7 linked regions of the Oryzias latipes genome follow. The protein of the gene in region 7 binds, or shares a complex with, the protein of the main gene of each other region. Links are inferred from orthologs where the notes say so. Each region holds a gene or a part of one and is shown on either strand. Other genes may lie near its edges. The genes, in order: rbm48, ddx42, rbmx2, sf3b4, cwc27, snrpd2 and sf3b5.

The links.
Region 1: sf3b5 (region 7) and rbm48 share a complex: the UniProt entries of both Homo sapiens proteins name them as parts of the minor spliceosome. The link is inferred for Oryzias latipes from reciprocal best matches to the Homo sapiens genes SF3B5 and RBM48.
Region 2: the proteins of sf3b5 (region 7) and ddx42 are in contact, whole or in part, in a cryo-EM structure (PDB 7EVN), measured with the Homo sapiens proteins. The link is inferred for Oryzias latipes from reciprocal best matches to the Homo sapiens genes SF3B5 and DDX42. Residues at the interface, in NP_112577.1 of Homo sapiens: Arg4, Tyr5, Thr6, Ser9, Gln10, His13, Leu14; in NP_031398.2 of Homo sapiens: Asp156, Ala159, Tyr160, Phe161, Tyr163, Met164, Asn167.
Region 3: sf3b5 (region 7) and rbmx2 share a complex: the UniProt entries of both Homo sapiens proteins name them as parts of the minor spliceosome. The link is inferred for Oryzias latipes from reciprocal best matches to the Homo sapiens genes SF3B5 and RBMX2.
Region 4: sf3b5 (region 7) and sf3b4 share a complex: the UniProt entries of both Homo sapiens proteins name them as parts of the SF3B subcomplex of the 17S U2 SnRNP complex. The link is inferred for Oryzias latipes from reciprocal best matches to the Homo sapiens genes SF3B5 and SF3B4.
Region 5: sf3b5 (region 7) and cwc27 share a complex: the UniProt entries of both Homo sapiens proteins name them as parts of the minor spliceosome. The link is inferred for Oryzias latipes from reciprocal best matches to the Homo sapiens genes SF3B5 and CWC27.
Region 6: sf3b5 (region 7) and snrpd2 share a complex: the UniProt entries of both Homo sapiens proteins name them as parts of the minor spliceosome. The link is inferred for Oryzias latipes from reciprocal best matches to the Homo sapiens genes SF3B5 and SNRPD2.

What each region holds. Positions count from the first base shown.
Region 1 is NC_019869.2:21,761,674-21,765,568, forward strand, and holds rbm48 (RNA-binding protein 48), read left to right. Parts: upstream 1-1,342; 5' UTR 1,343-1,357; coding exon 1,358-1,519; intron 1,520-1,980; coding exon 1,981-2,171; intron 2,172-2,253; coding exon 2,254-2,399; intron 2,400-2,615; coding exon 2,616-3,151; intron 3,152-3,157; exon of another isoform or gene 3,158-3,242; coding exon 3,243-3,305; 3' UTR 3,306-3,395; downstream 3,396-3,895. Other genes in the region: pex1 (peroxisome biogenesis factor 1), read right to left, coding at 72-155, 255-401, 1,041-1,148; efcab1 (EF-hand calcium-binding domain-containing protein 1), read right to left, coding at 3,456-3,506, 3,579-3,683, 3,808-3,895. UniProt on the Homo sapiens protein: As a component of the minor spliceosome, involved in the splicing of U12-type introns in pre-mRNAs.
Region 2 is NC_019866.2:4,153,514-4,156,422, reverse strand, and holds the end of ddx42 (ATP-dependent RNA helicase DDX42), read left to right. Parts: coding exon 1-99; intron 100-1,379; coding exon 1,380-1,973; 3' UTR 1,974-2,409; downstream 2,410-2,909. UniProt on the Homo sapiens protein: ATP-dependent RNA helicase that binds to partially double-stranded RNAs (dsRNAs) in order to unwind RNA secondary structures. Unwinding is promoted in the presence of single-strand binding proteins.
Region 3 is NC_019872.2:23,467,974-23,472,250, forward strand, and holds the start of rbmx2 (RNA-binding motif protein, X-linked 2), read left to right. Parts: upstream 1-1,477; 5' UTR 1,478-1,580; coding exon 1,581-1,585; intron 1,586-3,119; coding exon 3,120-3,235; intron 3,236-3,317; coding exon 3,318-3,369; intron 3,370-3,437; coding exon 3,438-3,567; intron 3,568-3,642; coding exon 3,643-3,829; intron 3,830-3,898; coding exon 3,899-4,176; 3' UTR 4,177-4,277. Other genes in the region: ap4m1 (AP-4 complex subunit mu-1), read right to left, coding at 627-684. UniProt on the Homo sapiens protein: Involved in pre-mRNA splicing as component of the activated spliceosome. As a component of the minor spliceosome, involved in the splicing of U12-type introns in pre-mRNAs.
Region 4 is NC_019869.2:7,220,376-7,224,000, forward strand, and holds the end of sf3b4 (splicing factor 3B subunit 4), read left to right. Parts: intron 1-2,788; coding exon 2,789-2,958; 3' UTR 2,959-3,125; downstream 3,126-3,625. UniProt on the Homo sapiens protein: Component of the 17S U2 SnRNP complex of the spliceosome, a large ribonucleoprotein complex that removes introns from transcribed pre-mRNAs.
Region 5 is NC_019870.2:3,013,862-3,017,361, forward strand, and holds part of cwc27 (peptidyl-prolyl cis-trans isomerase CWC27 homolog), read right to left. Parts: intron 3,300-3,500; coding exon 3,187-3,299; intron 2,165-3,186; coding exon 2,061-2,164; intron 750-2,060; coding exon of another isoform or gene 701-749; exon of another isoform or gene 523-700; intron 496-522; exon of another isoform or gene 260-495; intron 1-259. UniProt on the Homo sapiens protein: As part of the spliceosome, plays a role in pre-mRNA splicing. Probable inactive PPIase with no peptidyl-prolyl cis-trans isomerase activity. As a component of the minor spliceosome, involved in the splicing of U12-type introns in pre-mRNAs.
Region 6 is NC_019871.2:25,537,851-25,541,790, reverse strand, and holds the start of snrpd2 (small nuclear ribonucleoprotein Sm D2), read left to right. Parts: upstream 1-1,140; 5' UTR 1,141-1,269; coding exon 1,270-1,271; intron 1,272-2,615; coding exon 2,616-2,795; intron 2,796-3,940. UniProt on the Homo sapiens protein: Plays a role in pre-mRNA splicing as a core component of the spliceosomal U1, U2, U4 and U5 small nuclear ribonucleoproteins (snRNPs), the building blocks of the spliceosome.
Region 7 is NC_019873.2:17,221,611-17,225,835, reverse strand, and holds the start of sf3b5 (splicing factor 3B subunit 5), read left to right. Parts: upstream 1-1,425; 5' UTR 1,426-1,550; intron 1,551-3,424; 5' UTR 3,425-3,449; coding exon 3,450-3,710; 3' UTR 3,711-4,225. UniProt on the Homo sapiens protein: Component of the 17S U2 SnRNP complex of the spliceosome, a large ribonucleoprotein complex that removes introns from transcribed pre-mRNAs.

The sequences.
Region 1 (3,895 bases), on a different chromosome or scaffold from region 7:
CAGGAGATTGATTTCATGATAATGTATAACTGCAATTAGACAAATTACACAAAAGTCAATATTTCACTCACCAAAATCTCCCAGTCATCAGATGACAGTGGCTCCACAAACACCTGATTCAGCGAAGAGACTTGATGGCATGGTCTGAGAAAACACTGTGAAAACCACTCAATGTCAGACCAATGTTAAGAGACTGTTGCACAGGCAGTGTTCGTCCCAGTTGATGACCTAAAGGAAGAAACCAAGGTCTTTACCTGTTCTCCATCAGTCAAACCGAGCTTTTCTCCAAGCTGCCGAGACAACTCCACTCTGTGGCTGTCTGCTCCTAAGGAGGCTCTGATGGGACACCAGCTAAGGAACACTGTCGACCCGCCGTCCCAAGACAGCTCCAAAGCCTGATTCTAAAACGGACCGGCCAAAGAGAGACGATGAAATAAGACACAGAATGGTCTCTTAAAGCGGATGTCGAAATTATGATTCCAACTTTATGAATGTTAGATACTTGTGATACCTTTATTAGTTTTTATTCTTGTACATTTTGTATCATTACATACATTTCAGATTTTATGCTCAGCAGAAGAATTAAATTAAAAAATTGCAAAAATATTCCACAGGTGTGGTAGCAAAATATAGAAATATTGAGATGATCACATTAGTTATTATAATAATCAACCTTTTCTAAATTAAACTATTTCTAGGAGTTAATGTGTTAAAAATCAAAACAATGCAGTTTCCTTTAGACTAAAGACCCCTGAATGAGGACAGTATTTGATGCCCAATTTCTATTTTTACCAACAATTCATTTTTTGTTGCCTTGCATTACTTCCTAATACTAATTAAGTACACGTGATAATAAAAAAATGCTCTGCTTTTGTTATAAGTTTTAATTAAGAAAAACTAAAACCTTAAATGCAACCAAAGGTCCCCTTGTAATGTCAGAGAAACAAACCAGCAATGTGTAAAACACAAAAGCAGTCATTATTCAGTAAACTTTATGCAACAAAACTGAAGCGATGTTAAGTAATTAGCTAATACTTTACCTCATTCAGAGAAAGGTGCGATATCAGCTTTGAAGAGAGTTGAATAAAGCAGTTTTTAGTGTTGTTAAAAACAACACATACTGGTTGAATTCCCTGGTTGCTAAACATGACGTTTACATCGCTATTTTAGCATTTAAAGTGCTTAACATGCTGGTGCGCTAACGGCCAAAGTGCAACAAACATTTCGATGAATGAGAGAACTGATCCAGACAAAACAGTCGATTGTCGATGGAATCGATCATTTCAAAATAAGACTGCCACGTCGTCAACACTACACGTTGAGTGCTCTGCACAACGGAATGAACTCTTGTTTTGAAATGCCACCAAAGCGGAAACGCGTTTCAGCAAACATGGCGGCAAATGTCAACAGTAAACCTGGTTGTTGGAAGGTCCCAGAAGTCTACAAACATCACGAACAACACAACGCATGTTTTTCTAGACCCAAATATAGAGATGGAAGGAGAGCTAAAGCAGTCAAGGTAAGAAAAACGTTTCTAATGTTTGTAGCAAAGACGGTCTGTGTTGACGCAAGCGACGAGCTAATAATTATGTGTAAGTTGGTTTTATTTTTACATTTAAGAATGTAAGAGAAAATTTTAAAATCTTTTTTTTTAACTGGAAGAAAAAAGTATAAATTGTAGTCACACAGCAAGTGATAAATAAAAGACCAACGGCAGGTCTTAAAAAAACAAATAAAACTGTCGTTTTGGCAAAAATAAATAAATAAAATTAAATAAAAGACATGGTAAAAAGTTTGAGTCATTTCGAAAAAATTGTAATTAATAAACCATAAAAATCAAATTTCTAATACAGTAGACTGGATTTCTGAGTTGCAGGAAAGTACATCAGATCTGATGATTATGTCTTTAAGTTAATTGATTTTTATTGGTCACGTCAACAGCCTCACATATACTAATAACCATGCCTTTGTATCTGCCAGGTCTACACAATAAATTTAGAGTCCCGTTATGTGATGATCCAGGGAGTCCCCGCTATTGGAGTGATGGAGGAGCTGATCCAGTTGTGTGCTCTTTATGGAACAGTGGAGGAATACAGACCGCTGGACGAGTATCCTGCTGAGGAGTTCACAGAAGTCTACCTGGTCAAGTTTCAAAAACTGACAAGTGCTAGGTATGGCGGGCACCTTAACTGTACTGCCCTAAACCAGAAATGCTGAAAAATATGTCATTCAGGTTGATATTTGATGTTCCAGAGCGGCGAAACGTAACATGGATGAGAAGAGTTTCTATGGCGGCGTGCTGCATGTGTGTTACGTCCCGGAGTACGAGTCTGTGGAAGACACCAAGTTAAAGCTGCAGGACAGGAGAAGTTATGTTCTGAAAGTGGCTCGGAGTAGAGGTATTATCGCATTTTGACGATATACGGTGTTGAAAAGCACTGAATCTTTTTTTTCTTAGGTAATTGTTTTTTAAAAGTTCAATGAAAAAAAACTGTGATTAAAAAATTTTTTTTGTGTATTTTTATCTGAAATCAAATGTTTTTTGTTGTTTTGTAAGTTTAAAGTATAGATAAAGAATTTGATGAGTGTCATTTATCTGTTTCATGTTTATACAGCAAAAGAAAGAGTAGCGGATGCGGTACACATGGAATCTACGTCTTCAGAAAGCGTTCCCACATCAAGCAGAGTTTTTGCTACAAATAATCCAATCTTCAATAGTGACAAAACAGGCGAGACTTCAAGCTTCAGCCATTGTTCCGGATTTCCTCTACTGCCTTTACCCCCGCAGGAATACTTTCATCAGGATTATCGTGGGAACGAACCAACAGAAGATCAAATGGGGACTTTACATGACGCAGTGCCTCCTGACGTAAAACAGCAGAAAGTCCAGAACTTTAGCTCTTTCAGTAAAGACCCTAATTCCGAAAAAAAATTGGCCTCCAACCCAGATTCTTCCGTCAAGCTTGTTCCAAGAACTGCACATTTGGAAAAGAACAAACGCCGCAAAATGGAGGAGGCCACAAAACAGCCAGTGCCTGATTCTGGAGAACCGTCTTTGATTGGACCAAAACTACCAGAACCACATAAGCTGGACATGAATGATCAGTCGCTAAACACAACAGTAAATCTGATCAGGGGCACAATGAAGCAGGTAGTCTTTTATTTTTTTTTTAATGAGAATTAGAGCTTGACATGATGCCATATTGGTGCATTTCAGTCTCATTCTTTTCATTCATTCCTAGGTGACATCGGTCCCAGACCTCAAACCAGCGGAGAAGAAGGTTAAGCCACGCCGTCGGATATGATCCATTCTGTTTTAGTGACGACTGTCCATATTTATCAAAACTAACGTTGAAAGGCTCAACTTAAAATAAAATTGTACTTTAAGAAAAACATTTTGGCTTTTTCTTTCATGAAAGTCTCAAAGTTGAACACCGCTTGCACTTCATATTTTATTATTCATCTTGCTGCTTTTCCAGTACTTGCTGCTCAAACTTCTTCTTTGTCTAAAAAGAAAGATTTAAGTTAAATAGATCCTTACAATATTTTTAAGCTCAGCAACTTTTGGTTGTGATTACCCTGAAATTGGGCAGGCAGCTTCCAAAGGCTTCAAGGAGTAGCTCCTCCTTTTTTACAGACTTCTCAAAATCTTGAAAAGACAGCCTGCCGTCTTTGTCGTGGTCCTGTGGAATCACAGGAAGCAATGTTGGCATGTTACCAAAATAAATCTGCACACATCAAGACAAAATTCTTACAATCAACATCGATCCAAATGTGACAAAGGCAGATGGGAGGGCAACATCTCACCATTTTTTTGAGGACAATTTCCATCAGTTCGTTGATCTCATCCTGTTCATCTTGATAGTCGTCTTCTCTGCCTTCCTCTTCAAGCCGC
Region 2 (2,909 bases), on a different chromosome or scaffold from region 7:
AGCAGCAGTTTGCCTTCAGCCAGTAGCTTTGACGGTTACAGCAAACCAACCACCGGAGCTATGGGGGATCGCATGTCTGCATTGAAACAAGCCTTCCAGGTACGCTCCGTGTTTAGTTCTTTACATATCGGTGTCGTGCCACAATTATTTCTCTTCGTCTGCTTTCTTTTTGCTTTTAAGTTAGATAAAGGTCTGGTATTTGGATGGAATTATTCTAGACAGTCCCAATCACTCCCAACTGTATTTTTCTTCTTTGGTCAAACTGTTTTCCAGTGCTCTTTTAAAGATGATTGTGCAGCCAAAATCCAAAAGCCTGTTTTGTTTTTAGGACAGATTTTCTGCAGAGCAGCTGGAGCTCATTAGAAATTCGCTTTTACATTCAACTAACAAATGACCACATTAGGCTATATGCACATGCTACTTCCTTATTCAGTGTAAGTAATTTTAGGTTTAGATTCCTTTAGCGGAAACGTGTGGCATACAGGAAAATGGTTGGGGCTTTAGAGTTTTCTAGATATCTTTTGGAGCTCCCTAAAGTCACACAAAAAAAAAAAAGGAAATCTGGCTCTAGAAGGACATCGGCTGGTCATAACTTGTAAGCCTGTTTTCAGGACCTGTTATTGCAGTGTCAATGTCAGCCGCAGTAATGTCAACAAGCGGGTCTAGACTAGAACAAGCGACAGAAACGGAGCATGCGACATGTAGACATGTAACAAAAAATACTGTCTTTAGAAACTCAACACCTCTGCAAAAACACAAACATACATATATACTGCAATTCTTTCATCTCCAAGTCTGCGACATCCGTACATCCGAAAGCCATCATCTGCTCTTCCCGGTAATTTATTCCCAGACAGCAGGACGTACGGCATTAAGCAAGTTCCCTTCAAAAAGAACAGACACGGCTCCTCTTCTTAAGAATTGAAAGCTTTATAAGGGATTTTTGCCAAATATTATATCCCACTTCTTTTCTAACTCGCCATATCTGTTGGGAAAAGAGTGGAAACTTAATGAGTTTACATTTAGCGGATGCTGCTCATTCAGGGACACAGCAATGGCAGCTTGATGTCTTGATCTTTTTGTTGTCATCGTGTAAACACACGACAAGCGAACATAGTGCAAAGCAACAAACAAAAGTCAATGAACACAGACCGGTTCTGTTTTCTGAGAATCTGCGTATGAACTTAGCCGCAAGCGGGAGCCACTCGGCAGTCTCATTTTTAACTAAAAATACGTCGCACAGTTTTAAACTAAGAAATATTGGTTACATGGGTTTCAAGTAACATCTCTTGAATGACGTTTGACGTAAAGAATTTATTGGTTCTCTTTTGCCTCCCAGCTGATCACTTATGGTGTGTTTTTTTATTTATTTATTCCAGGCTCAGTATAAAAGCCACTTTGTAGCTGCATGCAGCGGTCCTCCAAAGCTCAGCGCCAAGTCCAGCAGCACCTCCGGCTGGACCAGCGCCGGCAGCCTGAGCTCCGTCCCAACAGAAGCTGCCAACGGGTCAGAACGCTCTCAGATGGCCAACTTTGCCATGGCTGGTTTCACCAGTGCCGGCTCCCTGAGCTCGGTGCCCCCCATCCCCAGCAGTCCACAGCACAGCAACGCCACCCCGGCACCCCCCTCCCCAAAGGAGAGCTCGCGAGACAGACACGGGGAGGAGCGGGGGCGCTATGAAGACAGTCATCGCCACAGCGACAGAAGTGATAGGCATAGTGGAGACGATCGCTACGGAGATCGGGATCGCCGCGGAGACAGGGATCGGGACCGACACGGGGACCGGGATCGCCACGGCGGCGGCAGCCGCCACAGCGACAGCCGTAATGGCGACGGAAGCAAGAGAGATCGAGAAGACGGCAGGAGTGATAGAGATGGAGGAAACAGGAGGAGCGGAGAAGGAAGGGACAGAGATGACAGCTTTGCGGTCCCTGACCCACCAAAACGGAGAAAAAGCAGATGGGACAGCTAAGGAAAGCATTAGCAAACGTTATAATATCATTTTTGTGCTACCAAATATTTGCTCCATAAGAAATTTATAGCTGTAGCAGGACAGATGCTGGCACAAGCACAAATCTAAGAGAGCTGTTCACTTGAAATGGAGTGAACTTGTCCTAAAAATCCGTCAGGTTGGTTAAGATCTAACTGTTTGCTCTGAAACCACGTTTGCTCCAATGACTGCTTCAAGACAGCCATTGTACATATGCCATCCAGGCTGCTATCACTGTAAGTCAAGCAATAGAGTTGTAATGAAAAATGTTGTCTGTGAATTAAAAAAAAACAAAATCCAGTTTGACATGTGTTATCACTTGTTCATGAACCCCTAATTTCCTGTGTTGCTTTCAAAGCTGGTTTACTAAGAGGTTTTCATTGAAGTCATATTATTTACAAATAAATCCACATATCAAGACAACACAGTGTTGCTCGTCTTACATTTTAGTCCCATGGCATGTGGTCTTGTCCTTGTTTGCTTGTTAATCCAACTTTTCTTGGAGCTTTTAGGTGGTTGGAAGGTAAAAAATAGTTTTATTTCAAACATATAAAAACAACATTTATACACTTGCTGATAACAATTATTCAAATGAGTTTCTATTTGAGAGGAGAAAAATAAACATGTTTGAAAAGGAGAAAACTAGCTGATTTAAAGCCAATTTGTTTTAATTCTGGTGTCAGGTTGTGTTATGATGTAAATGAAGAACAGAATGGGCCAATTTTCTCTGACTTGGCATGCTGGAAGTCGGATAAAACTAGATAAAGCTCTAAATTTAGTTTTGTTATTGGCTGCAAATTTAAATTTGAGCTGTTTGTGTATGCCTAGCTCAAGTATTCCCTCCAGTGTTATGCATGTAATTTGTTTGCATTTTCTTGTGAAGGTAGTAAAAAAATAAATGTGTTTAAAAACATATTT
Region 3 (4,277 bases), on a different chromosome or scaffold from region 7:
ACTGAGAGGGAACAGATCATTCTCCATGTCTCTGTGTCAAACTGGACAAGGAAGCATGTGACTTCCTGAAACTTCTGTCCAATCAGAGGGTCTGAATACTGTGACGCTGTCTAAGCCTGCTAGAAGGCCCTGCTGACACCAACTCAAAATCTGATTGGATGAGGGAAATTAATCTCCGACATTGATTTTGCATTAGAGGGCCTGCAGAACAGATAGTGAAGGCCTCTGTAGCTCTGACCCTGCCTGGCAACAAAGGAGAGCTGGAATGTGATTGGTTAAATGTTCCAATGTGAAAATACGTCTGGAAGCAGCATCACCATCATAAACACACTAAAAGAGGAATGGACAGACCATTTGGAATGATTTAATGAGAATGCATGGACGAACTCTAATTAACACATGATTCAGATAATTTTTAGGCCTTCAGAGAAGCCCATCACCATTGAAAATAACAACTTTAAAACACCTGTGTCTGACTGATGCAAAAAATGTACCCCAGATGGGCAAGTACAAGTACCCCTGCTAGAGTAAGTCTGTCCCAAAGGGGAGATCTTTCACTGTATAGCAGAACTGAACTTCAAAGCAGGATGATTTAAACAGAAGCAGGTGAGAGCTGAGAAGGATACAGTCTCTGAAGAGGAGGGGGTCGCCCTTCGAGGACAAGATGAAGAGCTGCCGGATCATCCTGCAGAGGATAGAGGACTGTCGGGGCAACAGTTCACCCCGGTGGGACAGCTAGGGGGAGTTTCAGTGCCACTGCAACATCTGCAGAAACAACATCTGCAGGAACACGTCCAAGTCTGTCTGCAGAACTGCAGTCAAGCCGAAATAAAGGAGAAAACCCCTGTTTATGGGGGAAATGACAAACAAGCAGCATCTCATATTCACTGCATGAAACTAGTTATTATGAGGAAAAAAATAAACTAACAATAAACAATCAGATTGTCTGGTGTGTGCTACTGTAGGTGTGCGTCACACATTAATCTCAAACGTGTTAAAGGTGACACTGAGTAAAGCGGAATAGGGTAAAGACAAGTCGAAGGAAAACTGAATTTACCTGAAAAGATGACACAGTTCAGACGTTTAAACTGAACTTTAAGTGTTTTAAAGCCATGCTAACGTGGAATTACAAATCATTTTCCAGTTCCACGTAAAATCTCCTGCAATGATGTCGACTCTAAGAAAGGGTGTTATTTAAACATTAAAAGCTTGAAAAACACAACACGCTTTAAAACGTCCACTGTCTGGTTTAAGTGTTGCATCCTGTTAAAAATGAACTGTTAGCTTGTTAGCGCCACCTGTCGTGCAGGCGGAAAGATTGGACGCTTGCTTTTTACAGACAGAACATTCAGCATTTCACAATTTCTTACAAAAATAAAATAAATACATTTCTTGTTTATTAAAAGCAGCATTCGGGCAGTGTTAGACGCTTCGCGTTCGCGCAGTTTTCTCGTTCATTTCATCTGTAGTTCGGTCATCCAACCACCAGGCGGCAGCACACGCAGAACCTCCACAGGAAGTGCACCACTTCTCCACGCTTGGTCTTTGGCACCATAACATCGCTGCTGTTCGAGCTCACCATGAAGTAAGTAAACGTTTCCCTCTACAGCCATTACATTAGTTTTTATTTTTCATTTGGTAGAGAATCCCTTTTCTGGTCGTTGGTTTCCTGTTGAGCGGATTCCAGCCGATAGCAGCAGGCTTTATGTTTCGTGTGTGTCGCCTTTTCCCCATTTCCATTCAAATTCTCCACTGTAGAACTTCAAAAACTTCTAAAAACTTCTAAAAAATCAAATTTGATTTTTTTAAACTTAATAGACCAGGTACTGAATAGCCACCTACTGAATTCGTACTTGCGTTTGATTGTATTTGCATTTTAGAGGTGTAACGATTGCATACCAATCAGTGGTTGTTGATGTGATTCAATCATTCGATAATTGTTCGTTTTATCCGATTCAGTGACCTAATGGATCCAGGACATCTTTATCCAAAACATCATCCAGTGTGACTCAGCGAGAAATACCTGCTACTGAAATGTGAAGTTTTCCAGATTCCTTAGATTTCTTCCAAGATAATCAAGTTTAAATTAAATATGTACAAACAAAGAATTAAAATCAAATCCATCCACATTTTAGTTTCCTGAAGTTCAGCCCACTGTTGTTTTTCCACATCCAAAGAATCCAAAGGGAACATTCTAGCACACTGTGTGGTCACATGACTTTCTAAATTCAGTTTTGGACTGGAATGATGGTTGATCAGTTTTTGATGAAATTACATGTTTTTTGTCTGCTGTAATGCACTCTGTTAATTTTGATTGTGTCTGAATTCCTTCAATACTCACTACCTAGGGGGCACTATGTAGTGCACTATATATTGCCCTATATAGTGCACAACATTCACCATGTTGTAGTGCTGTCCGAACCTACAATTTCAAAGTCGAGTGCCCTAGAAATTTCCCAGAAGTCTCTGCGAAAAAGCAGTGTGCATCGAGTGAATATAAACCACAATGCATTGCGTCGAACAGTTTTTGCAATTTTCTTTTTTTATGTTAGGGTGGGAACTTGGGGCACAGCCTTTATGTTATAGTAAAATGACCTCACCAGGTCTCAATCCAAACGGTGGTTTCCAATATCGATTCAATAGGCAGAGCTGAAGGTAGCAGAGATGAAGATGTTGAGGTTCTCTTTGGGAGAGACCAGGATGCATCAGGAATGAGTCCATCAGAGGAGCAGATCATGGTTGATATTTGGGACATGAATGCAGATGGAGATGGTTTGGAGGAGCAGCAGTGATGATGCTGAGGTTACAGAAACCAGGAAAGAGGCCTAGCGGAAGACCACAGAGGAAGTTCATGGATGAAGAGGAGGGCATGAGGGTTGTTGGTGGGGACGATAGAGGAGAGAGCTGGATGATTAATGTAGCAACTAAGAGACAAAGAAGATATGGTTGAAATCTTCATAATGTTCATTATGTTGAGATGGTGCATAAAAAAATAAATTGATGAAACATGAATATTAGAAAGCTGACCTTCAGGTTTATTTCACTTTGTTTAAATGAACAGAATCTTGACTGCTGTCTTCTAAAACACTGAAAGTTTCCTGCCGGTTGATTTGTTTCAGTCCTCTGACGAAGGTGAAGCTGATAAACGAGCTGAACGAGCGCGAGGCCGACCTCGGGGTCAACGAGAAGGTGTCGTGGCACAGCGAGTACCGGGACAGCGCCTGGATCTTTGTGGGTGAGGGGGCGGAGCTTCTCACAGGAACCTGCAGTAAATGAAGCGTGAAAGCAGGTGGTTGACGTCTGTTCTGATCCTGCAGGAGGCTTCCCCTACGAGCTCACAGAGGGGGACCTGCTCTGCGTCTTCTCTCAGTACGTACCCACAGCCTCGCTTTGGGGTGGGGTGGGGGCACACACCGCTTACTGATGTGTCCGTTCAGGTACGGTGAGATCGTCAACGTCAACCTGGTGCGCGACAAGAAGACGGGAAAGTCCAAAGGCTTCTGCTTCATCTGCTACGAGGACCAGCGCAGCACCATCCTGGCTGTGGACAACTTCAATGGCATCAAGGTGAGGCCCCCACCCCCCACCCGGGGCGGCGCCACTGTGAGCATCCTTAATGATGAAGCTCTTTCTCCCCTCCAGATCAAAGGACGCACCATTCGCGTAGACCACGTAAAAAACTACCGCCCCCCCAAAGACGGCGAGGACATCGATGATGTCACCAAACGCTTGAGGGAGGATGGCTGCGCCCCCACGGGCCCTGCCGCCCCCCCGTCCTCCTCTGAGGATGACGAGCAGCTCGTCATACCTGTGAAAAAACCCAAAAAAGGTGAGGTCACTTCCTGTTCTGTCATTTATGAGGGGGAGGGTCAGTTTCACCTGTACTCTTCTGCTGCAGACAAAAAAGAGAAGAAGAAAAAGAAGAAGGAGAAGAAGAAGAGCCGAGCTTCCTCCTCCTCACCTCCCATCCGAGTCAAAGAAGAAAAACGAGACACGGCGTACGACAAGTACGCCACGGGGGGGTCACAGAACGGACACAATGAGACGGAGAGGAGGAGGGAGGAGAAGAGGAGAGACAGAGATGTGGAGAGTAAGAGAGAGACTGAACGAGAGAGGGAGGACAGAAGGAGAGGAGAGAAGAGGAGAGAGGCGGACAAGGAGAGCTCCAGAAGATAGATGGAGGAGTAAAGAGAGGAGAATGATACATTCTCTCCTCAGCAGAAGAGCTCCCCCTGCTGGCTGACATCCTCCTGTAAACAAAGCTTCCATGAGAAGCC
Region 4 (3,625 bases), on a different chromosome or scaffold from region 7:
ATCCCTACTTCATGTTGACACCCCTGCAGACTTTTAGCATAGTCGTTTTTGATCATAATTAGAATACAAGACATATAAGTTCTCTGATCCGGAAATAAAATCCGATTCACGCGATTCAGCTCCGCACATCCCTGGACAGATTTGCTAGTTTTAAAGCAGTAAATGGTTTTACAGCAGGGATGTGGATGAGTATTTTGAAAGAGGAGTGGCTGACATGTGGTCAGAGATGTATAAAGTTTAAAAAGTCCTTCTTACTTTACTGCAGTGGATTCAATTATTTTAGCTGCTCTAAAAATACTTAACTTTTTTACTTAATAAATGAGATGCTAATTCGGATCCATCTAAAGCATGGGTGTCATACTCATTTACACCGAGGGCCACATCTGCATAGCGGCTGTCCTCAAAGGGCCAGATATAACTTATACATGTAACTAAATGTAATGAAAAATAAATGTAACTACTCCTTAATGTTAAATAACTCATTATTTACTATAAATTTTTAAAGTGACAATTACAGTTGCATAGAAAACATGTTTGCTTGTTTTTCCAGCATAAATCCTTTTAAATTTGATTCTGTCAGGTTAGGTTATATGGACAGTGTTTAAGTCCTAATGTATAGTTGCCCTGTCTACACCATTTTTTTTATTTTATTTTAAGAAATTAAAAACTTTTATGATCTCGCGGGCCACATAAAATGACATGGAGGGCCACATTTGGCCCCCGGGCCTTGAGTTTGACACATGATCTAAAGGAACCCTTCAAACATAATCTGTTCCAAACTTTGGTCTCATTTCTTTTTCAACTGTGACTAAAATCAGTACAGTGACCTAATGACCTACGGCTTTAGTTTGACTTCGGCCTGGGCGAAAAATCGATTGAATCGATTCGAAATTTTTGTTACGGGCAGTAAGGCAAACGACAAACAACAACATCATAGCTCACACGGAACAACAAGCGACAACATGGCTACCGGTGAGAGTGGGAAGTTTGTTCCCAAGAAAGGAATAAAATGATCTGTTGTTTGGAACTGGTCTGGGTTTACTGCCACAGACACACACACAGTCATTCTACAAAACCTATATAGTTAGTTCATTAGTTAGATAGGTAGTAGTTAGTTGTTAATGTTATTTGTTAATAAAGAATACTGGGTTGTAATTATTACTTGTACCGGTATTCATTTCTGCCGCTGCCGCCGAAGGATTTTGTGTTCGGCGGCGCCGGGCGGGGGGGTTGGCGGTTGACCGCGACCCCTGCTGCTTCATCACTGAAGTGATGGCTTTGCATATCGCCAAAGACATGACGGTACCCATATATACCGTGGAGAAGACGGGGTTTAAAAATTTGATTAAAACCTTAGACCCCAGATATGAGCTGTTTTGTTAATCCTCTAGAAAAAGGTGCTACTGTCAAGGTGAATGTTTGTCTACTTTAGTCTAGACTACAAAGTGTGACTGAAAACACAACTGGGACTTTGATTCCAAGAGTGTGTTCATTTATTTAGGATTCATCCCAGAAATGGGGGTTACATTTGTCTTGCGTTTGATTAAATAAAAGCAAAATTTGCTTTACGTTGTCTGCCGTTTGTACTTATTGCTTTCCTAAAGTATGGGGGGATCGGAAATCGAATAAAAATAAGTGAGTTAGCTGCTGATTTGTTGTCTCTGTGTTTTCACGTACGCTCCGTATTCTACATCCTCAGATAAAAACTGCAGTTTATTTATTTTTAAACATTTTTAGGAATTATTCATGGAAAAGTAAATTCAGTGATGACAGTTGATGCTTTTTTACACCAGAAAATGGTTTTAAACTGAGAATCTTTTCTTTTAAGAAATATGGGATATATTGATCATTAGGAATAAGAACATTTAGCCACTGGATATTTTAACAAATGTGTATTTATATAAAAAAAATAATGCAGAAAGCAGAGCACCTAAACCCCACAACTGTAACAAAATAGTTGAATAGTTTTTCTAAAAGAAAAAAAGGTTTATGTCCTTTTGCTGAGCGTGAGACTTAATCCCAGTCTTGTGCCTGGAGTCGTCTATATAGAGGCTTTTGGGTTTCTCCAATCTTCTGTCCTTTACTGTCCTCACTGCAGTGGATGGAATAATCACATGACTGGTCCCCAGGATTTTGTCCTTGACCTGTTGTAACACCCGTCAGTCTATCAAAGTACTACAAAACAAACAATATGCCTCAAGTTCTCTAAACAGTCTTGGTTACTTAACCCCACAAGAGCTTCACCCGATAGTTCATATTCACCGCCTCTCCTTGGCATCCTCCACCCTCCACATAAAAGGAATCCAAGTGACTCGCAGGGCGACGAAGTTCCATCCGTAGGATGAACCCACGTGGCTCATTCACAGTTGATGGGGTTTTCAGTCATTCCATGCATGTGGGGGTCTCACCCCATTGCAGAAATAAAATCCCCGTAGCTTCCATCGACGCGGTTGGACTCCTCTCCGACGTCTCCGGAATCTTCAACAGCACGTGTCTCTCTCCTTCACCCCCCTTTCCTCGTAATAATCAGTTTTTCGCCTGGGCGGCAGGAAGTCCCCAGGTAGCCATATTTGTAGTCCAAGAGTCTCCTGCCAATGTAGTAAAACGTCCACTGCTATTCATTCAAACATAAACTCCCAAGAAAACCACATAGACAGGACTTCACCTGTACATTATGTAGCAGGTGGTTTCAGCTGAGAACTCCACTTGAATCCTGAGGAAAATGCAGAAGACTACTGGTGCTTTCTCACATTTGATTCCATGATGTGACCCTCTCTGTGTCTCTCAGGTCCCCCGGTGCCTCCTGGTATGAGAGGCCCTCCTCCCCCCATGCCTCCCCCCGGCTACGGTGCTGCTCCACCCGGTCCTCCTCGTCCACCTCCTTTTGGAATGCAGAGGCCGCCAATGCCCCCCAGACCTCCAGTTGCCCCTCCGATGAGGGCACCAATGCCACCATAACCTGAACTGCTTAGCAAAAACTGGCTTTCGTTTGTTTCTTTAGAAAAAGTGTTAACATTTCCTCGCTTTAGTTTTAAACATGGATGTAACTGAACCTTCAGTTTGTTTTTGCTCAATTGTACAGTCAAACCTTTGCCCAATAAAACTTTTAATACGGTTTTTTCCTATTTATTTGTTTATTATGATGTTTTATTGTAACAAGTTGCAGCTGTTTGCAGCACAATTTATAAAATGTTTGATATTTTATGTATGTTTTTAAATTTTCTTTTTTGGTTGATAATAGACAAACTAAGATTTAAAAGCTTAAGAGAAAATGGTAAAAGGGAAGCAAAATTGTTTAATATGGACTCAATTTCATGATTAAAATCATAAAAAGGTGGTTTTTCTTTTGCAAAAAAGCCTGAAACATGATTTAGTTTAGTGATCAAAATCAGTTTTCTCTCCAAAAACACTTTAAGACGTGTCGCGTTTCTGCAGCCAAGTCAGTTAAAGGCAAATCAAAGTTGTCATGGCAACTGGAGTCAGGTGCGCTATTTGCACACTGGTGTGTGCGTTCAGCCTGTGCACACAATTCCACGAGTGTCCGCAGACCATTGTGTGTTTGCAAAACGCGTAACGAGGAATGGTAACCAAACAAAATTACGCACGCTCAATTAATGGACACGAG
Region 5 (3,500 bases), on a different chromosome or scaffold from region 7:
CGCGGCCCGCGCTACGAGTAACGACCTGGCTAGCCGGCTTAGCTTCCACTGTGCGGAGCCGCGCTTCTAACTGCTCCAGCCTGGCCTCCAAGTCTAACACAAGACTACACTTAACACACCTACCCCTATCTTCACTAAAGGAGGCAGGATCATCACTAAACATATGGCACATGGGGCAGGAGAGAGGAGGAGAGGCGGAAGGAGTGGTGGTGGCCATACTAGGTTCTAAGCTAAGGCTAGCGGTGTTTAAGTAAAGAGAAGTGGTTTATTTAGCAAAATGAGAAAAGTGAACAAAAAGCGGTTTAACAGTGGTGAATTAGCTAATAAAAGGTACTAGATGTGAATATTAACCCAGATAACCCTTAGAGTAAGCAATAGTAGTAAGGCTAATGCCAAACAAGAGGACAGCAGTCACACAACTAGCACTGGGAATAGCTCACCCGGAAATGACGTCACAGGAAGTAGACACAAATGTATTGCTCGCCCATGGGACAGCTGGAACCGGGCCCCAGAGTGATAATAATAATAAAAAAAATGCCCACATTATTTTTTGCTTTATTTCTAATCAGATTCTGAAGGAAGTTTTACTTTGGAAAACTGCTGGATATTTTTTCTCCACCACATCCAACTCGTTCCTGACGCATGTTGGTCACCTGTCACAGTTCCATCCAGCACTTTTTTAAAGTGGCTGCGTCGACTGCTATGTCCAAACCCGAGAACAGATCCAGAGAGGAAACAGAAGAAGAGCCCTTTGATTTCAAAATAAAAGAAATCTGCAATTAACAGACAAAAAACAGTAGTTTTTCCACCAAATATGGATGTATTGTGACGGTTGTTCCCACAATCATAATGGTACCGGTAAATGGTGAATACTTTTCTAGGGATGCCAATATAGCATAGTCAGTTTGTTAGTTCATTTTAGTATTTTCCTATTGAACTCTTTGTATTCGTGATCCTTTTAAGTTCATGTTTTACTTCGAAGCCCATCGAGACGACTGTTGTTGTGATTTTGGGCTATACAAATAAAATTGAATTGAATTGAATTTTCTACCTTCCTGGAAGGCCCAAAGCCCTTTACAGTCACAGTCCCATTCACCCAGTCACACACCCATTCACACACTGATGGCGGCTCCGCTGCCGAACACTGGCGCCCACCTCCCACCAGAGGCAAGGTGGGGTTCAGAGTCTTGCCCAAGGACACTTTGACACATGGGGGGGCAGAACATGAAGACACCGGCTGTCTAATGTTACGAGGATGCTGCTGTTAAAGTTGTTCCAATGGAAGCTTCCTTATTACATTTAGAAAATAACCGTTTTAGTGTTTTGTTTTCCTTTATTTATCCGTCTTAGACGCTGAAGTTGGCGTCAGATTTTTCTGGTTCCACTTTAACCGTTAGGATTTAAGGCAGTAGCGGTTTTAAGCACGGGCCGTGAACGGCCTGAAACCTGCAAATTGGCAAATTTTTCTTGGATTTTCATTCAATATATACAACAGAGTTTTAGGGCCAGTGTACGAAAAAAACAAAAAATGTAATTTACGACAATGAAGTCGTAAATTCACGAGAAAGAAAGTCATAACTGTTAAATCACGAGATTTTAAGTAGTAAATTTACGAGAAAAACCTACTAAATTAACAAGTATTTTTCTCGTAAATCTATGACTTAAAATCTCGTAATTTTCCTTTTTTTTTTTTTTTTTAGTGGCCCTAAAACTCCCTCATAAATATAATATCTTTTGTGCATCTTTTGCTTTTTTATAGTGTTGATATTTGGACCTCAAGTCTTTAATAACAATATATTCTACAATTTATTTATGATTTAAATATTTGAAATATTCAAACATTAAACAACAATTTTCATGTTTCTTTTGTGTAGGTAAACTCAGCAGTGAACTCACACTTTATCAATGTATTGAATTGAACTATTTAAAACTTCAATTACGGTAGTAATATTAGAGAATATGCTATTAACGAACCGCAGGGATAAAATAAAGATTTATCTTAATTAGAAATGTTAAATAGGCTTTCTGGGCTCGTGAAAAGGGGCGTCCGGTTCACTGACCATCCTTTGTCGTCGTCCTCCGCCAGCTCCTCCACGTCCCCTTCCGGACCTTCGGTGATGGCTGACGACAGCTTAGACTTGAATTGATCCAGCAGAGCCAGAGTCTGTCCCAACACCGGAGAAACAACCATTTTAGCCGCCACACAAAAACCACAATCCGCGTGATTCGGCTCAGATTTGTAAAAATGCCAAACCAACTTTATTTATAGAGCATTTAAATTGTCTGTGCAGACTTGAAGTGCTGTACAATCGTGGAAACACTAAAAGACTATGAAAACAATACAAAAAAAACACTTATATGTACATTAAGTGGTTTAAAAGCTATCCTCTCAAATCGTTCATGTAGAAAAGACACATAATTAATAAAATTACTACATTTATAATGAAGTGGAACCAATAAAATAAGAAAAGACCCCTATAGGGGTCTTCAAAGCCACATTTAAAAAAGTGTTTCTTTTAAAAGTCCCACTCCAATCATCTTTAGATCTGTTGTAAAATCGTTCCCAGTGTTTTTTTTAAATTATGATGATGCTGTTTTTATCCAAAAGTCGTTCTCTAGAACATAGTTTCTGCAGAGTGACACGAGAAATTCACCCCTTTCCTTCCCTACCGCTGAGAGATCTTCGTTTACATGCTCTCCCTCTAGCTTCAGACCCCCCCCCCCCCCCCCCCCCCCAAACCTATTCAATAAAAACGGCGAGCAGTACCAGAGCTTCACAGACATACATGGATCTAGTCATCTACAATGGATGTATCAGAATGGAGCAGAGCAGATTTTTTACTTCACAAATACGATCTTTTTCAGTCAGCATTTTTTCTGTCTGCTCCTGATTCACAGCAATTTGAATAAAGAAATAAATAGAAATGCAATTTTCAGCTGAATTTTCTTCCTAAATGTCCTCCATCGTCAGAAAAATGCAAGAAAGAAGACGTTAAAAACACCATTTTCATCCGAGTGGGTCTTTAAAGGAGATTTGAAAACAGGTGGTGAGGAAGACTGTCTAACGTGAGATGGAAGATGGTTCCAAAAAGTGGCTGCAGCAGAAGTACGGTCCTCCTTATGTCTGGACTTTACTTTTGGGGTTTTTAGAAGCAGCTGACGTCAGTCAACACTCTGATGTGTTACCTGCTGTTCTCGGCCCGAGCCTTTCTTCTGCTTTTTCGTCTTCAGCCCCTCGTACTTTTTCCGTCCCTCCAGATATTCAGCCACTGCCTCATTGGTGGGCTTTTGCTCGGCTTCTGAAGACGGGACAGAAATGACAGATTACTGAAAAAACAAAAAACAAACAAAAAAAAAACACTTTCACTACTTACAATACAGTACATTTCCCAAACAAACAGTTTCCAAAGTACTGTACAAGGACTAAAATGAGATAAAAATGATTAATCAAAATAAAAACAAGGAAAATACTTTAGATTAGTCATATTATTAACAACCGA
Region 6 (3,940 bases), on a different chromosome or scaffold from region 7:
GACATCTCTTCAAAACAAAACTTATATTAGACTAACATTAGATAAATACACCTGCTGTAGATCTCATAGAACTCAGTTGTGAGAGTTTCTAAATGACACTATAATGCATCTTATAACTTTTTATAATTGTATTATAAATGGTAAATGGCGTATAATTGTACTGCGCTTTCTACCTTCCTTGAAGGCCAAAATCAGTCACCTATTCATACACAGATTCACATACTGGTTTCCTGGTTGCTGAACACTGGCACCAACCTTCCACCAGAAGCAAGGTGGTGTTCAGTTCAGCGTCTTTCCCAAGGACACTTCAACGGTAGGGCGGGTATCGAACCTGCAATCTAACGATCAGAGGGTGACCACCCTACCACGGCTGCCCATGTATGCAAGACATGACAGCAATAAACCTGGAGCCTAAAACTTTTACTATTAAAGTTTTTTTGTATTGTTTGATTTGCAAAATGCAGTTACAAAAGGCCATGTTTATAGTTTCTTGATATTGAATTATATTTTTCAAATAAATGAGTTTAAAAATACTGCTAAAAATACAAATGAACAATGCTGCATCATTTGTTTAGCACCTACAATAATAGATAAGGCAATCTGTGATTTGGAACGTGGCACATATGAAAAAAAGGAAAGGTTATTATTATTATTATTGTTTTTGTTGTTATTAATATTATTACTATTATTGTTGTTGTTGTTATTTCCAATATTTTAATTGTTGTTGTTGTTAATAATGTTGTTGTTGTTTACCAGGCAAAGGTCACAGACTAAGCAACGTCTCTTTTATTTTATATTATTTCTTGATACTGTCAACCTGGACTTTGATATCCTGCAAATGCAAAATAACTGGATAAAAGCAATGCTGAATTTAAATGTATCAAATTGTATTTAATTAATCTTTTTCGTGTATTTATTTAAACATGTTCTATAATGTCGTTTGTTAAATTGCTGCATGAATGCTGGGGCATTCATAACAGTTTTAACTTCGGCTTCAGTAACGAAATTACTAGAGATGGATGCAAGATTAGAATAGAATATTTTAGCTGATGACCGTTGTTTGATTTTTTTTCTATTGTTGCCAAAAAGAATAGAATATTTTTCGAATTTTTGGTTTGCGTCGTAACCCGGAAGTTATTCTATTTAAGCGCGTTAATATCACCGGAAGTGATTCTGTGCACGCGACTGTCGGCTAAAACGTTGTAGACACGACCGACGCACGAAAGAGGCTTTGGAACTTTACTAAACGGTTTTTATAAACCAGGAATCATGTTAGTATCTTCTATTGTGTCTCGATGTTGAGGGCAATGTTACTTTTTACGTTTAGCTGCTAATATGGAGATCGCACTATTAAGCTAGCAGCATTTTCCTTCGAGTTGGTGCTAGATCGCTTTGTGTGGCCTAGTGGGTGGTTTTTAGAAATGTGTTAAATTGGATTACATTGCAATTACTGCATTCTCAAATTAAATTGTTTAAAAAGTTACGTCCAAAGCTAAATTCTGTGATTGTACATCGCGCGAAAGCTTGATGGACGTACTAAGCCTCATTAGCTAATTGCTAATGAGACTGTTAGCTTGCTCTATCCATCATGAGTAAATGTCCTCGTTGTGCGATTGCAGCATTCATTCTTTAGAAAGTAGAAATGTTTAAGCTTCTGCAAGATGATATGATCAAAGTCGTCGGTTATAGACTCATTTTGTGTGAAAGCCAAAGTTTTGTTCTAAATATTTTGTGCGTAAAGAGCCTAAACTCTTTGCTGATCTCAAAGCACACACTGTTCAGAGATTGTTGAAAACTTCAAATGTATCTGGAAACAATAAATGTTCTGTGCTCATTTAAGGGTGGCGGGAGGCTTTAATGTTTTAAAACTTGATCCTTTTATAAAGTCTAGTATTTGTTGACCTTTATTTAGGTAAATTGTTTCTCTATCATCCAGAGCAGCCATTTTTTTTAAAGTAGGTTTTACTTCTGCCTATTTGTAGTGATCATTGTACAAATATAAAGAAATATCGAGACTAAAATGTACTGATTCAATTTATCAATGACCAAAGCATTTATTGTGTGTGTGAGATAATTCCTCAATAGTTTTGATTCCGTCTGATGTAATGTCTCCTGTACAATGGTTTTCTGGTTAATACTAGTTTTGCATGTTTAGTTTTATTTAGATATTTGGTTGTGGTCCATTTTCCTGCTTAAGCACCTTCTGCCTCTCAAATGTCTCTATTAACTGAGCACTTTCAGTCAACAGCTTCAGCTCTCATAAATGCTCTTTTGCAGGAACTGAGACTTTTTTTAGCTGGTTCCACTTTTCAGATGTCTTGCCTATATTGTACATTTTTGTGCTAACTTGACTTTATAAGAAAATGATCATTTTGTTGAGGCACACAGATGAAGCCAACTCTTGGATTCGCATTAACAGTAACTAATGCTTGTGTGTGCATTAAATACGAAAGTGTTGCGTTTGTGTCTTTATATTTATTTTTTAATTTAAAAGAATAATAATAAAAAGGCCCAAATCCAAATAATAGGCCGCCCAAGCAGTCGATGCTTAAACAGTACATCGTTGCTTATTTTGTTTGCTGTTATCACTAATTCAGAACTTGTTTAATCCACAGGAGTCTTCTAACGAAACCTAAGTCAGAGATGACGCCTGAAGAGCTCCAGAAAAGAGAAGAGGAGGAGTTCAACACTGGCCCTCTGTCGGTGCTCACCCAGTCAGTCAAGAACAACACCCAAGTCCTCATTAACTGTCGCAACAACAAGAAGCTGCTTGGAAGAGTCAAAGCATTCGACAGGTATTGGGGGGCTGCTGGTGTAGCGGAGAGAGGTTTAAGTGTGTATTTAGGACTTTTATATGAAGAGGAAACAAACACGAAGAGCTTGCATCTTGATTTAGAAAGTGTTGCTTCACTAAAGCATATTTTTGCAGTCTTTTTTTCTTCTTCTTTCCAGGATTTGAAATAACATGGCGCCTTACAGTGGTTTTATTCTAAAATGTTTCAATTATTCCCTCCTCTCTTTGACATATTCCTTTAATAGAATCAAGAATAAAATACATTCAGAAGAATTCAAATACAAGTAAAACACTAAATATAAGCTCACAAATGTAAGAGATTAAAAAGGCGTCCATAGCATCTCCTCCACATTGGGTACTGTGCCTGATGTGGGTGTGGGGTTTGAATGATTTCATTCTCTGAAGCATTGTTTTGTTTTTTTATCAAGTATGAGTTGAATAAAAAGCCACTTCTTAAATACTAAACCTGTTTTAAGGGTTAGATGTCAACAGCAAGATTTCTATATGTAGTCACTTGTGTAATAAAATCAAATTTTCTTACAAAGCTTAAGCAATGAAGAAGGGAGATTGCAAGATGTTTTATTTCAATAGTTCTTGCATTGTAATTTTCTGATCTTTTTGGTTTTTAAAAGAATAGATTACGTATGTGAGCAAATCCACCTGAGCACCCCAAGATTTCAAATGCCAGTGAGTTATTAGTATGAAGGTAAAAATGTGTCTAAATAGACGAGCTTGTAGATTTGGTGTGAGAACTTGTAATTTACAATGTGAGAACTTGCACACCAAAAATCTGCATCTGTGTGTAAAAATCTTCTGCTGTAAAGTCTGACAAACTAAATCAGAACTGACAAATTCCCATTTAGAGTTACAACCTCCAATCTGGGATTACAACTGCTCAAATGTGAATCTGCTGGCGCACATCACAAGTGCACAACAACTGCGCTCTGACTTCTGACACATTCCTTGTGAGAAACTTGTGTCAAAATTGATCTGTGTACGAAAACGGAACGGGGGGGACAATAGGGTCATGATTAGTCAGTACAGAAAGTTTGCTGACATTAGCTTTAGTATCTTTAGAACTATTGAGCACCTTTATTATGAATCATGTCTCTTAAAATGTGAAAAACTATATAAAATATATTAAAC
Region 7 (4,225 bases):
TTGATTTGTTTACTGCAAACTCATGACAGTTTGCATATTTTGCCAACAAACCCAATTTTTAGTGCTGCCCAGTAAAGCAGCAGAACATGCATTATTTATAAACTTTAGTGATGTTCTTCCTTTAAAATGGAGCTTCTTTTAAAAAAAAAAAAGGAACGAGGTTGTTCTGTTTCTTATTCTGTGTCATAAATAGCATGAAAGAAATTATAAAATATTGGAATCACTGAAAAATATTGTAACTTTACTTGATTTATGTAGCACATTTAGTAATACTGACGAAGCAGGGTTTTTTGCACACGTGAATACATGGCCACTGGTCACATACTGACATCTGAAAACCATCAGACCATTCCTGTCTAATGTAAAACTTTAATGTAAAAATTTAAAAAAACATTCAACCTCCTGAGAACCGAGGAAAAAAAGTGTCTTACAATTCCTGTTTTTATGTGATTTCCTATCTATTTAGGCCTAGAACACCTAACAATTTTAATTTTTTTAAAAATATTTTTTATTGTAGATAGAAGACAACAGGATGATATTTCTGTGAAAATAGAGATCAATTTGGAAAATCAGAAAAAAGGAGCAGATTAAATCTTTAGAGTGATATTCACCCAAAAAACATTAGATGATCCTCGAAAATATTGTTATCGATGTACTGTGAAAAGTACGAGATTGGACTCCAGTATTCACAAACTTTGGGGTCATCTTGAGCGGGGCGCCCTGCTAGCACAGGTGTAAACCTGTGATGATGTACGTTTAAAAAACACAAAAAAAATCAAGTTAATAAAAAAAGCAGTTTTTTTTTTTTCCATTTAAACATAGTACAAACACTACAATGTTCTAACATGGTCATAAAATGTAAGACATTAGCCTGAAACTAAATAAAACATGCAAGTTAGTCCTGGTCCACAGAGCACGAAGACTTTGCTGCACCTTCTCTGACTCATCAGATTCTCCTGAATTATCATCTTCTTCATCTTCATCATCACCTATCACAGACTGAATCTCACCCTCCTCATCCTTTTCATCATCCGAAAGCTCCAAATATGAATCAACCTTCGACTATCTGGTACAGAATCCTCTCAGCTTCACTTCTTTCACCTAAAAATAATGTGTAGCCATTAAATAGATTAAAATGGTCCTGGTGTCCACTACAGTTGACATTCATTAAATGCCTGCTGTTTTAAAACCGAAAACCTGAAACTGTTTTCAGATCTAAAAATATTGTTCCTAACCTGTTTATGACCAAGAATATATATAATTATCATTGTAAAAAAAAAAAAAAAAAGGAATAGATACAGAATATTTGACTTGCCTTTCACCTTTCCATAAAATGAGGTTTTATATGTCGTTCACTTTGGTGTCCACCTTTACCATCGCGTTAGGAATAAAAAGTCGGAACAAAAAAAACACCGTCTCGGTTTCTCACCGGTTTGTTAAGTCGAAGGCAAACCGGAAGCCAGCTTCTGCTCGTCGCGGTGTGTTCGGACGGACGCAGTTTTTATCATCTTTTTCAAGCTTCACCTGTTTTTCAAACCCGCGCTTTTCAAGTAAGTTGACCTTTTATATGTATATCATCGATGGCCACATGGAAGTTGCACCGCTGGCTACGAGAGAAACTAAAGTTCAGGAGTTTAAATAGGTTATTAGCCGAGACCCAGGCTAATGATATAGGATCAAGCTAACAAAGTAAAATGTAACTTTGTTTTAAAGGGATAGTCGTGCTTTCAAAAACGGTCATATACCATAAATGGTAAATATCTGCAATAAAGTATGACACGATTTTATTTAATTTCTGGTAGTTGTGCATTATATTGATTTTCCTCATGGGAAAATTATCCATTGACTCTCCGAGGAGTCCTTTCCTTAAGACCAGAATTTCTAGCAGTTTAGCTAGGCTAAAAGGTTCAAATCTGCATAGCTGTGAGAAATCCGTCGTTTTCCTGTAATTCTAACAAATCAGTCATGCCTTTGTTTTTAATTTGTCACACTAATTCAAAACTTGTTTCATGTTATTGAAAGGGATGATAATCTAAGAAATACAGAATTTGTTGGTGTGCAAACAACAAAACAAAGCTTTTGTATTTCATTATGTCAAAGTAAACTGCATATGATCTGGAGAAAAGGGACGTAAGAAACATAAGGGGAAAAGTCTGTATTAGACATTCAACTCTACGGTTTATTAATATTTTTGTTTTTACTGAATATTTTATTTTGATGTTTATACACACCACTGCAAAGTATAGTAATTTAATAATTATTCTACTTCTACACTAGTTTAATAATAGACTGGTGAATGGGTATGTGTTCAATGTGTCCTATAAGATTTTTGTGGGGATGCTGGGTAAGTAAAGGATAATAGCTGACAAGGTGTCTTGACAGTTTAAGCTTCCTTGTCGTCCGTTAAAAGACGGATAATGACCTTTGAGGTGTCCATTATCAGAAATTATACCATGGTACGGGTGAATACTCAATTCTGATTGGCTGCTGAGTGTGCATTAAAAAAGTGATAACCGCACGTCTAAAAAAAGAAGTTCCAGTTACATTGCTTAGATGTTCTGTGTCACTGCGCCGGCTTTTTTAAAACAGACATTTGTTTCATCATCTGGATAAAAACAAGCGGTGAGCGGTGAACCTTCATTCTGAACTGATGCTTTAATTTAACATACACCATCATGACGATCAGCTTATTTATGGCTTTTACTGCTGCAGTGGAGGTCGGTGCCAGCTCAGCGTGTTGTCATGTTACGGTAACGTGACAACACGCCACACCATGTTGCAAAAAGTCCGCTTTTTTTGAAAAAAGCAACGTAAACCGAAAAAATAACAAGAATAAATGACTAAAAACTGATTGAAAATGTATTTGTTTTGTAAGTGACCATGGTAAAAGCAGGATAATCAACGCACTAATAATCAACGGAAGCATCGGGCAGTTTGGGTTTCCACGGCGTGCGTTAATTTCTGGCAACGTATACTTTGTTGGTGACTATCCCTTACTTAATCCCCACTCAGCAGCCAATCAGAATGGAGCATTCACCTGGACCATGGTATAACTGACATTCATTGATATATTTGAAGTTTAGCAGTTGGATGTGGTAATCTTTACTTTCAGATGCTCCCCACTCATTGGAGAGACACATAATAGAATTTTATAGGCTTGTGAAGTGTATTTACCATTAGCCATGTTTATAACATTTGCTTCTTAAAGGTTTAATTTATTTACATGTACCACCATATAATATAAAAAAGGCATTATTTTGAGTTTTTTTTTCCTTCAAATTATTTTGTTTTTATCTTTGAATTGTAATTTTCCTCACAAATGTCACAAGAATAACTAAAACCTTCTTGTTTATGAGTTTATCTGACTGGATCGTCTGTTTGCTGAAGCACAATTCAAATCTCTGATTTACTTTCTTTCTCCCAGAGCCTGTTGACTGATCTCAGAGAGAATGACTGACCGATACAATATCCACAGTCAGCTGGAGCATCTCCAGTCCAAGTACATCGGAACAGGGCATGCTGACACTACCAAATGGGAATGGCTGGTGAACCAGCACCGTGACTCTTATTGCTCCTACATGGGTCATTTTGACCTGCTCAACTACTTTTCCATCGCTGAAAATGAAAGCAAAGCTCGTGTTCGCTTCAACTTGATGGAGAAGATGCTTCAGCCATGTGGACCACCTGCAGACAAACCCGATGATGCATAAAACACAGCCCAACCAACTGCTGCAGCTTTTTTTCCCTCTTACCTTTTCTTTTTTTCAGTTTTGGACGGTTGTTTGTTTCTAACCTTGAGGTCAGAGCAGCCAGTAAAATCTGGTATTCATGTGTTCACTGAAGCTATTCTCACTTGTTTGATCGGTGAATACATTAACTGTAGTGCTTTCAGGAAACGAATGAGAATGACGACACCTGAACTTATCCATTTCAGAAAATGTTAAAAATGTCCAATATGTGCACAATGTTGAACTGTTGTATTTCTAATGAAAACATTATTTTTCCTTTGGTTAAGCTCTTTCACTGATCATTTTATTCTGGAAATATGTCAGTTTTCTAAAACGCATTTAAAAAAGTGAGAACGTTTAAATGAATAAATCATCCAAACAAGACGTTTTATTGTAAAAAGAAAAAGACCAAAGTCATCCTTAGGACTTTGTTGAAGGAGCAGCAATGGCTATAGCAGTGGTTTTGTTTTTGCTTAAAATATATGATTTTGTTTTTT